Macaca fascicularis: one gene and its partners. The protein of the gene in region 2 purifies or fractionates together with the protein of the main gene of each other region. This does not show direct contact. Links are inferred from orthologs where the notes say so. Each region holds a gene or a part of one and is shown on either strand. Other genes may lie near its edges.

Region 1 (3,746 bases), about 22 Mb from region 2:
CTCACGCTGTTGCCCAGGCTGGAGTGCAGTGGCGCGATCTTGGCTCACTGCAAGCTCCGCCTCCTGGGTTCACGCCATTCTCCTGCCTCAGCCTCCTGAGTAGCTGGGACTACAGGCGCCCGCCACCGCGCCCGGCTAATTTTTTGTATTTTTAGTAGAGACGGGGTTTCACTGTGGTCTCGATCTCCTGACCTTGTGATCCGCCCGCCTCGGCCTCCCAAAGTGCTGGGATTATAGGCTTGAGGGCATCTGAGTTTTAAAACATTTCCCAGCACTTCTCAGAGGTGCCTTCCTGTCCTCGGCACTCCTGTGCTTCCCTGGCCACTCGGGCAGAAGTCATTAGCGCTGCTGAGAAGGGATGAAGCTGGGGTTTCTGTGCACCGAGGCCCTTAATCCGGATGAGATTTTTTAAACTCCCCACAGCCTGCTATGCCAGTTCTATTTCCAGCTGCATCTGCCCCTGGGTCTTCACAGCTCCTCTGGAGGGGATTAGGCAAACCATGCAGCTGCCTATAACCTCACATCTTGAGGGAAATAGTCATTGAATCTCTGACCTCTGGGCTGGCTGTCTCGGACTCTGAGCTGCCAGGGAACCAGGACTTTCCACCCGGTGGGACTGCCTGGGGGCTTTTGAAATGCCCCTGCCTGTCCCCCACTCCCGGAGATGGTGACTTCCTGGGTCTGGGCATTAGGAGTTTGTAAAACTCCCCGATGATTCTTCTGTCCAGTCCAGGCTGAGAACCACTGGTCAGAGGCCTGGGCACATCCCAAGGCTTGTCCAGAATCACGGAGTGCAAGTGACAGAAACAAAAGAGGCTGCTGATTGCCTCACTGAGCAGGTGAAGCCCAGGCTTGACCACTGATTAGGCCAGTTGGACCCAGGAGTTCAGGCCGGAGGATGCCTGCTTCCCTCTGCTCTGTCCCATGGGCCCCAGCAGCCTGGGCCCACATCCTCTCAGTCGGAAGCCGGCTCTCACCAGCTGGCTGGGCTCACAGCCCCACCCTGAAACCAGTAGTGTGGCCCGGGGGGCCCCGCAGGGCTCAGACACCCAGGCCTTGGGTGGTTGAAGGCCAAGAGCTGGGGGCCGTCTGGGAACCACACAGCCTGGAGTGGGAGGGGGTGCTCCTCAAGGGACAATTGAGGCGCTGGCTTTCAGTGGGAGGAAAGGGAATGGCTATGAGCTGGACAGAGCCATTATGTCACCAAGAGAGGCTCTGTGCCCCGGCACCAGGTGCAGACTGTCTGGGCCCAGAGCCTCTGCTGCTTCCCCTCCCGTCCCCCAAACACCAGCCCCTGGCCAGCCTGGCGGCGTTTCCGACTGAGTGTGGCTGTCAGTCCTCTTGCGGGCCTTGCTCCAGCCAGACTCCCGCCTTGGGCCTCTGCCAGCCCGGCACTGATACCCACGGGCAGAGCTGAGACGAAGGAGAGGGCCCCTGGGGAGTATCCGCAGCAGCCAATCCCAGAAGACATCGATGTCAGGTGGTTTCTAGAAATCGAAAGTAGACTTTTCTGAAGCATTTCCTGGGATCAGCCTGACCACACTCCACCCTGGGAGAGGCTTCTGGGTCAAAGGAACAGTCTGCAGAGGGCTCTTGTGGCTGGAAGTGACGGGGCTGCAGCACAGCCATCGCAGCTGCCCCAGCCAGGTAAGCTGCTGCCTCCAGCTCCCAGGTGGGCACCTCTCTCTCTCTCTCTCTCTGTTTTGTTTTTTTTGTTTTTTTTGTTTGTTTGTTTGTTTTTTGTGACAGGGTCTCACTCTGTCACTCAGGCTGGAGTACAGTGATGCTATCTCAGCTCACTGCAGCCTCCGCCTCCCGGGTTCAAACGATTCTCCTGCCTCAGCCTCCCAAGTAGCTGGGATTACAGGCACGCACCACCACGTCCAGCTAATTTTTGTATTTTTAGTAGAGACAGGGTTTCGCCATGTTGGCCAGCCTGGTCTCAAACTCCTGACCTCTGGTGATCTACCCGCCTCGGCCTCCCAAAGTGCTGGGATGACAGGCGTGAGCCATCGCGCCCGGCCAGGGCACCCCTCTCTCTACACAGGCAAGTGGGGGTCATGCCTCCCTGTTTGCACATAGGCCTGGAGCTGGGGATCCAGGGCTCCTGAGCCCAGCAACAGTCATTGCTGCTCCCAGGCCCACAGGACCTCTGTGTGCAGTTGGGCAGGTGGCACGAGGATACCAGCCAGAGGGCGAGTGGGTTAGAATCCAGGTTGGCCTCTCTCGGGCCTGTGCATTTGGCCTAGGCCTGCACCCACTCCTAGGAAGAGCACCTTTTTTTCTGATTTGCATGAAGGGGGCAACACAGGCAGCCGGGTCTCAACTCCCCGTATGAAGGAATCAGGCAAAAGTCCCAGCCGCTGCCACCCAGAGGGCGGAACGCCACCTGCCAGGTGCTTCGTTGCCCACTTTTTTTTTTGAGACGGAGTCTTGCTCTGTCACCCAGGCTGTAGTGCAATGGCTCACTGCAACCTCTGCCTGCCAGATTCAAGCAATTCTGTTGCCTCAGCCTCCTGAGTAGCTGGGACTACAGATGCGCACCACCACGCCCAACTTCTTCTCCTTCTTCTCCTTCCCCTTCTCCTTCTTCTTTTGTATTTTTAGTAGAGGTGGGGTTTCACCATGTTGGCCAGGCTGGTCTCGAACTCCTGACCTCAAATGATACACCTGCCCCAGCCTCCCAAAGTTCTAGGATTACAGGCGTGAGCCATCGCGCCTGGCCACTTGGCCATTTTTCCAAGGCCCTGAGTTACTCTCCCAGGACGGACAAACCTGGTGGCTGCAGCGGAGTGAAGTGGCTGGGTACAGAAGTGGAGAGGGCGTCCACCCATACCGGCGTGCCTGGGACTGAGGGTTTCCCAGGACACAGGGAAACTTCAGTGCTAAAACAAGCACAGTCCCCAGCACACAGGACAGGCAGTCACACCCTGGTGTCTTTAGCCATCTACTGACATTGACGCAGGGAGGAGAGGTGGGCTCCACCGAGCAGACCCCCTGCCTATGGCTGTGGACGTGGAGCCCATTTACCTCTCTGGGTGTCAGCTTCTTCACTTGTAAGGTGGGGTGTAACTAAGGTGGTTCTCAAGGTCACGGTAAGGCCTCCAGTGGTACCTGGGGAGCCCTGATAAGGGGTGGCTGCGCAGTGCCAGTGAGCGTGAGTCCCAGAGCAAAGCTCTCACCAGCCAGGGCACCCAGCTCCCAGGGTGCTTGTTCATGCAGACTCCCATGCAGAGGGGCTAGGGCGAGGCCAGCCATGACAGCACTTCCAACAAGCTCTGGCGATGCCATTGCAGCCGTCCACCAGGCCCCCTCTGAGCAGCCTCAAGGTCACCAGGCCCAGACTCCCAGCCGGTGCCCACAGCAGTGCCACCCAGAGGCCTGCCCCTGGCTTGCTGAACTGAGGGGACAGTGTCACAGGATTCTTACCGAGCCAGAGAAGCCATACCTGTCTCTCCATTGGCGGGGTGTGGGGGAGGGAGGCAGGCGAAGACAAAAGCGTGGAAATTACACGGAGGCAAGAACACCAGGCCAGAAGGCGGAGACCCGGACCTCCCCAACCGCAGCCTGAGTGTCAGTGTCTTGGGGATACTTCAGCATTTCCTCCCCGTTCTTCCCCCAGCATGGCCCACCCTGGGCTGCAGCCCTGACCCTTTTCCCCTATCTTCCCCATCCGAACACCATGGAGCCCCGATGTGTCTCCTTGCTGCTTATCTGTCACCCCGGCCCAGCCTCCGTGGCCTCTC
Region 2 (3,746 bases):
CACACACAGATAAAGCATATTTATAGTGCCACTTTTCCAGCTCAGGAACACACACACACTATTGGACATCCTCAATTTCTTTGCCTATAAACAATGGCTAAGGATGCCTCTCTAATTCCTTGGAACAGGGAGGAGTTACAATCACAGGTGGCTTTGAAACGGGTGAAATCTCCGTCATTTCCTAACTGTTCTTTAAAAGCTTGTACTTTTCTTTCAATTTTCAGCTTTGGGGGCTCACACTGACGCTCAGACTTCATAAACTTCCTTCCTAGATATACAACATGCTAATTCATGCGAATCGCTCAAGCTTGTTTTAAAATCACACCTATGGATACCTTTGCAAGACTTCACGCCTGTACTCCAACAACAACTACTAAAACCTCTGGAAACAATCTAGAACTTGCACTTGAGCAGACAAGAGAAAGGAAGTGATGGCTTTAAAGGGACGCAGCTTTCCCGGGCTCAAAAGAGGCGCCCTAGCTCACTCTTGAGCGGCTCAAGATGTTACCAGAAGCTCCCGCCAGATGTGCACGGCGGAGGTGCGGGCACCGGTAAGGCAGAGAAGACGGGTGGACGGCCCTGGGAAGAACTGGGGTGCCCAAGCCTGCAGGCGAGATGGAGTGGAAAGAGGTGAGGCAAAATTAGGCAGGTACAGGAAGGAGCCAGTGCAGCGAAGAAAACAGGGCAGGCGAGTACAGCCCTAGAGGAACCGACGAATTCGGGACTCGGAGGGTTTCCGAGGGTCCAGTTCTCTCACCAGAAAGCCGCGTTCAGCCCCAGGCACCACAGGGCGCTCCTGGCTGGCCGCTCCCACACCAGGGCTGCCTGCACCCGACTCAGCAGAGGCTCGTAAGGCCCCAGCACCTCGACCAGGGCCCGCTGCGCCGCCTCAACCTGCTGGTCCCGCTCCCAGGAGCCTGACACATCTCGGCGGCCCCTGAAAGTCGACCCCGAAGCCGGGCCTGGGGTCGCCGCCACCCCTTCGGCCTCCGCCATCTCCCCCCGGCAGCCACAACATCCGGGGCCGTGGCCCGACAGTCACAATAACAGCAACTGCGCAGATGCGCGATTCGGCGTGGGAGGCCGCTTCGCACCACAGCGCGCTTGCGCGCAGGCCCAAGCGGGCGTCTACCCAGAGGGGAGGGAGGACGCCGAGTCAAAGTACCCCGCCATCGTTGAGGCGCGGAACCTGATCTGTCGGCTCAGAGCCCGATCAGAAGCCGCGCACGCGCAATCTGCATGAATGAAGGCCAGTGCTTAAAGACATGCCATTCATTGCCAGAACTCGGTTCTCATTGGAGCGGATGAAGGTCGTGGGTGGAGCTTGTTGTTTCGCGCCTGCGTCTTGCGGCGAGCGGGCTGGCGTGCGGCGGCGTTGCGGGCGGGAGCGGCTGCAACGCCGGTGCCTGAGGAGCGATGCCGAGGGAAATCATCACCCTACAGTTGGGCCAGTGCGGCAATCAGAGTGAGCGAAACTCCGGCCCCTCAGCTAGCCAGGTTCCTTAGGGTCAATGTGATCTCGCTGTAGGATCCTGGACTCCATCTGTCCTTGCCAGAATCGTAGTTCTCTGAAAGGCGAGACATCCCTGACCCAGTGTCCACTTGCCCAGCCCCGAGGGGCCCTCCCCTGCCCTGTCCCTGGCGTACAGTCCTTTCCTCAGACACGGGAGAGTCCTACGGCTTGACTTCTTATTCCTGGACGCAGGCGCCCAGTCCCTCCGCTCCTGACTGGAACCTGCCCGGAACTAGATATCTTCTTTCTCCCCTGCCTGCCCCTTCCCCCCCAGTTGGGTTCGAGTTCTGGAAACAGCTGTGCGCTGAGCATGGTATCAGCCCCGAGGGCATCGTGGAGGAGTTCGCCACCGAAGGCACTGACCGCAAGGACGTCTTTTTCTACCAGGTGCCCCCAGCGACTTGGCCAAGGGCGGCAATGGCCCGAGGGGCCAGAAGGGAAGGGAGTGGCCTGGTACTGGGAACCCTGCTGGGCAGTGGGGCCAGGCGGCTGGCTTGAGGAGGGAGGGCTGGAGGGAGCCAGAGTTGGGAGGACTTAGGACTTGGGCCACCCTAGCTGATTGGGCCCCCTCCTGGACTCCCCTTGACAGGCAGACGATGAGCACTACATCCCCCGGGCCGTGCTGCTGGACCTGGAGCCCCGGGTGATCCACTCCATCCTCAACTCCCCCTATGCCAAGCTCTACAACCCAGAGAACATCTACCTGTCGGAGCATGGAGGAGGAGCTGGCAACAACTGGGCCAGTGGATTCTCCCAGGTCGTTTCCTATTCCCTGACAGGGCCCACAACTCCCTGGGTAGGGACAGGCCCTATGACGTCCCAGGGAGAGAGGAAACCAGATCAGGGATGTATGAATGCTGGAGGGAGAGACGTGGCTGCAGGGAGTGGACCATGTAATATTGTCAAGCGCCTATGCTAGCTAATGCAGTGTGCCAGGCCATTCTAAGTGCTTTACATATATTAATTTTTCTAAATCTCCCAACCACCCTAGAAGTAAGTACTACAGGTCCACAGTCCCTTATGTGCCTTTCCAGGATCCAGAAAGCCATGAAACCAAAGGACATTTCATAACTAGTTCAGCAGCAAAAACAAATCTCAATGAAGACAGGCGGTTTCTTTTTTATTTATTTATTATTATCATTTTTTGAGACGGAGTCTCACTCTGTTGCCCAGGCTGGAGTGCAGTAGCATGATCTTGGCTCACTGCAACCTCTGCCACCGGGGTTCAAGCGATTCTCCTGCCTCAGCCTCTCGAGTAACTGGGATTACAGGCGCTTGCCATCATGCCTGGCTAATTTTTGTATTTTTAGTAGAGATGGGGTTTCACCGTGTTAGCCAGGATGGTCTTGATCTCCTGACCTCGTGATCCGCCTGCCTCGGCCTCCCAAAGTGCTGGGATTACAGGCCTCAGCCACCGCACCGGCCCCATACTTTCTATCCAACTTATTGTCATTACTGATGCCTTTTATTACAGAAATACTAATATGTGTGATTAACGTGCTTCTGACTCCCACTGGAATTTTATTTAATATATATTATATATACTGTAATAACTTTCTAAAATCTGAAATATTTTGAATTCCAAAATATAACTGGCCCCAACACTGTTAGATAAGGGTATATGGACCTGTATTATTACCTTCATTGTACAGATGAGGAAACTGAGGCATAGAGCAATTAAATAAGCTGCCCAGAGCTACATAGAAGTAGAGTTAATGGGCCGGGCACAGTGGTTCATGCCTGTAATCCTAGCACTTTGGGAAGCCAAGGCGGGCAGATCACCTGAGGTTAGGAGTTCAAGACCAGCCTAGCCAACATAGTGAAACTCTGATTCTACTAAAAATACAGAAAATAGCACGTGTCTGTAATCCCAGCTCCTGGGGAGACTGAGGCAGGAGAATCACTTGAACCCGGGAGGTGGAGGTTGCTGTGAGCCAAGATCAGGTCACTGCACTCCAGTCTGGGAGACAGAGAGAGACTCCATCTCAAAAAAAAAAAAAAAAAAAAAAAAAATAGAGCTAATGTATGAACCCAGGTAGTCTGGGTGTAGAGTGCTTTCTTGTAACCACTGCACCGTACCGCCTCTCAATGTAGATAAAAAGCAGGCAGCTGTACTCCATAAAAGGACTCCTGGGTGCTATAAGGAGAATTGAGGGTGGCTTTTCTGAGGTCGGAGTCCTCCCGTGGTTCTGTCCCACTCTGACCCTCCCCTATGTCTGTACAGGGAGAAAAG
Region 3 (3,646 bases), on a different chromosome or scaffold from region 2:
CTGCATAAAAATAATTAAACACTTCATTCCTTAAGTGTGCCAGACAAAGATATTAGTATACAACTTGTTTAAGAGCAGGCAGTATATGGCTGGGCACGGTGGCTCACGCCTGTAATCCCAGCACTTTGGGAGGTCAAGACAGGTGGATCACCTGAGGTCGGGAGTTCGAGACCAGCCTGACCAGCATGGAGAAACCCCGTCTCTACCAGAAATACAAAATTAGCTGGACGTGGAGGTGCATGCCTGTAATCCCAGCTACTTAAGAGGCTGAGACAGGAAAATCGCTTGAACCCGGGAGGCGGAAGTTGTGGTGAGCTGAGATCGCGCCATTGCACTCCAGACTAGGTAACAAGAGCAAAAACTCCATCTTAGGAAAAAAAAAAAAAAAAAGCGCAGACAGTATAATATAAACCTCACCAAATTACTAAATACTTATGCATCTAGTGACTCAACCATATGAGTAGAACATTTAAATAAAGAAAAGAAAAAAACAAACAAACTATTTCCAGTCAGGCATGGAAAAAAGAATACATTATCGATTTTTATTTTTTTTTGAGACAGAGTTTTGCTGTTTGCCCAGGCTGGAGTGCAATGGCGTGATCTTGGCTCACCACAACCTCCGCCTCCCGGGTTCAAGTGATTCTCCTGCTTCAGCCTCCTGAGTAGCTGGGATTACAGGCGCATGCAACCACGCCTGGCTAATTTTTGCATTTTTAGTAGAAATGAGGTTTCACCATGTTGGCCAGGCTGGTCTCGAAATCCTGACCTCAGGTGATCCACCCACCTTGGTCTCCCAAAGTGCTAAGATTACAGGCATGAGCCACCGCGCCCAGTCCAGGTCTTACTTTTTATTTTCTTGAGACAGTCTCACTCTGTCGCCTGGGCTGGAGTGCAGTGGCACAATCTCAGCTCACTGCAACCTCCTGGGTCCAAGCAATTCTCCTGCCTTAGCCTCCTGAGTAGCTGGGATTACAGGCACCTACCACTATGTCCAGCTAATTTTCTCCACTTTTAGTAGAGACGAAGTTTCACCATGTTGGCCAGGTTGGTCTCTAACTCCCGACCTCGTGATCCGCCCACCTTGGCCAAAGTGCTGGGATTACAGACAGGCACGAGCCACCGGGCCCTGCCAAGTTTTACTTTTTAAACAAAAATGTTTATTCAAGACCTGCTCTACATGACTCCACACGATGTTAAACCTTAACTAAAATTCTCTGAAGCTAGAGGTAATATATGCTTTTTTTTTTCTTCTGAGATGGAGTTTCACTATTATTGCCTCGGCTGGAGTGCAATGGAGAGATCTTGGCTCACTGCAACCTCCGCCTCCTGGGTTCAAGCAATTTTCCTGCCTATCCTCCCGAATAGCTGGGGTTACAGGTGTGCGCCACCCATACCCGGCTAATTTTTTTTTTTTTGAGACAGAGTCTTGCTCTGTTACCAGGCTGGAGTACAATGGGGTTCTCTCAGCTCACTGCAACCTCTGACTCCTGGGTTCTGGAGATTCTCCTGCCTCAGCTTCCCGAGTAGCTGGGACTACAGACATGTGCTACCATGCCCAACTAATTTTTTGTATTTTTAGTACAGATAAGGTTTCACCATGTTGGCCAGGAAGGTTTCGATCTCCTGACCTCATGATCCACCCACGTAGGCCTCCCAAAGTGCTGGGATGACAGGCATGAGCCACCAATTCTGGCCAGTATCATATTTGATACTACCTATTTCTTGCCCCCAAGATACCTGATTTTCTTTAGGGTGCTGATCATATCATCCAATGCCTTGCGGTAAGCACTGATCACCACTGTTGGGTGCATCTGCTGCTCCAGGAAGTGCTCAGCTACAGATAGCATTTCCCCTGCTGAAAAAGATATAAGCACCACAGTAATATTTAAAAGTATCTGGATAACAAGGCAAGTAACTTCATTATTCTTCCAAAAAATACTCTCCTAAATCAGACTCTCCCAAAAGATATGACATTTGGCCATTCATACTATTCCAAATTTTACACTTTGTGTAAGACAGGGCAATTCATACAGAAAACATCCTTGCTGTCCATTTTTTAAAAGACCAGGCTGGGCATGGTGGCTTATACCTGTAATCCCAGAAATTCAAGATCAGCCTGGGCAACATAGTGAGACCCTGTCTTTACAAAAAAAATTAAAATTTAGCTTAGTGTGGTTGTACGAGCCTGCGGTCCCAGCTACTCAGGAGGCTGAAGTTAAGAGAACCACTTGAGCTTGGGAGGTTGACAGTGCAATAAGCCTTGACTGCACCACTGCACTGGGTGACAGAGTGAGACCCTGTCTCAACAAATAAAATGATGAAAGAATGATTCCAGGGCTTACTTACTCTCTTTATCTTTTTAGTTTTTTTTTTTGAGGAGTCTCGCTCTGTCACCCTGGCCGGAGTGCGGTGGCGCAGTCTCTGCACACTGCAACCTCTGCCTCCCAGGTTCAAGCGATTTTCCCGCCTTAGCCTCCCAAGTAGCTGGGATTACAGGCATGCACCACCACACCCAGCTAACTTTTGTACTTTTAGTAGAGATGGGTTCTACTATGTTGGTTGGCCAGGCTGGTCTCGAACCAGGTGATCTGTCTGCCTTGGTCTCCCAAAGTGCTGGGATTACAGGCGTGAGCTACTGCACCTGGCCTTCTCTTGATCTTTCTAAAAAAAAATTTCCCTAAAGGCAATAAAATAAAAATGCACAAAAGAAAAACTGACTTGTTTATTAGTACCTTAATACCTTAGGATCTAGTCAAACTGCTGGAACTAAAAACAAAACACACAAAAACTTACATTTGAAAGAATATTCAGGGTTGGATGCGGTGGCTCACACCTGTAATCCCAGCACTTTGGGAGGCTAGGGTGAGTGGATCACTTGAGCCCTGAAGTTTTTAGGCCAGCCTGAGCAACATAGCAAAACCCTGTCTCTACAAAAAAAATTCAATTAGCCAGGTATGGTGGCATTTGCCTGTAGCTACTTGGGAAGCTGGGTTGGGAAGCTCATTGAGCCTAGAAGGTCAAGGCTGCAGTGAGCCGTGATCACGCTACTGCACTCCAGCCTGGGCAATAGAGCAAGATTTTGTTTCAAAAAAAGAAAAAGTTAAAATTTAAAAATGTGCACAATTAAGGCTGGGTGTGGTGGCTGACGTCTGTAATCCTAGCACTTTGGGAGGCCAAGGCAGATGGATTACCTGAGGTCAGGAGTTTGTGACCAGCCTGGCCAACATGGTGAAACCCTGTCTCTACTAAAAATACAAAAATTAGCCGGGCATGATGGCAAGTGCCTGTATTCCCAGCTACTTGGGAGGCTGAGGCAGGAGAATCGCATGAACCACGGAGGTGGAGGCTGCAGTGAGCCAAGATTATGACATTGCACTCCAGCCTAGGTGACAGAGTGAGACTCCATCTCAAAAAAAAAAGAAAAAAAGGCCGGGCGCGGTGGCTCAAGCCTGTAATCCCAGCACTTTGGGAGGCCGAGACGGGTGGATCACGAGGTCAGGAGATCGAGACCATCCTGGCTAACACGGTGAAACCCCGTCTCCACTAAAAAATACAAAAAACTAGCCGGGCGAAGTGGCGGGCGCCTGTAGTCCCAGCTACTCGGGAGGCTGAGGCGGGAGAATGGCGTGAACCTGGGAGGCGGAGC

Evidence for each region.
Region 1: the proteins of TUBG1 (region 2) and LGALS3BP purify together in Homo sapiens (affinity purification with mass spectrometry; 3 studies listed by BioGRID and IntAct, counting the BioPlex papers as one, with this or other methods). This does not show direct contact. The link is inferred for Macaca fascicularis from reciprocal best matches to the Homo sapiens genes TUBG1 and LGALS3BP.
Region 3: the proteins of TUBG1 (region 2) and CCT3 purify together in Homo sapiens (affinity purification with mass spectrometry; 3 studies listed by BioGRID and IntAct, with this or other methods). This does not show direct contact. The link is inferred for Macaca fascicularis from reciprocal best matches to the Homo sapiens genes TUBG1 and CCT3.

The regions. Positions count from the first base shown.
Region 1 is NC_088390.1:85,383,742-85,387,487, reverse strand, and holds the start of LGALS3BP (galectin-3-binding protein), read left to right. Parts: upstream 1-1,514; 5' UTR 1,515-1,672; intron 1,673-3,746.
Region 2 is NC_088390.1:63,667,238-63,670,983, forward strand, and holds the start of TUBG1 (tubulin gamma-1 chain), read left to right. Parts: upstream 1-1,361; 5' UTR 1,362-1,416; coding exon 1,417-1,465; intron 1,466-1,787; coding exon 1,788-1,900; intron 1,901-2,102; coding exon 2,103-2,270; intron 2,271-3,737; coding exon 3,738-3,746. Other genes in the region: RETREG3 (reticulophagy regulator 3), read right to left, coding at 758-996. UniProt on the Homo sapiens protein: Tubulin is the major constituent of microtubules, protein filaments consisting of alpha- and beta-tubulin heterodimers. Gamma-tubulin is a key component of the gamma-tubulin ring complex (gTuRC) which mediates microtubule nucleation.
Region 3 is NC_088375.1:104,748,159-104,751,804, reverse strand, and holds part of CCT3 (T-complex protein 1 subunit gamma), read right to left. Parts: intron 1,856-3,646; coding exon 1,738-1,855; intron 1-1,737. UniProt on the Homo sapiens protein: Component of the chaperonin-containing T-complex (TRiC), a molecular chaperone complex that assists the folding of actin, tubulin and other proteins upon ATP hydrolysis.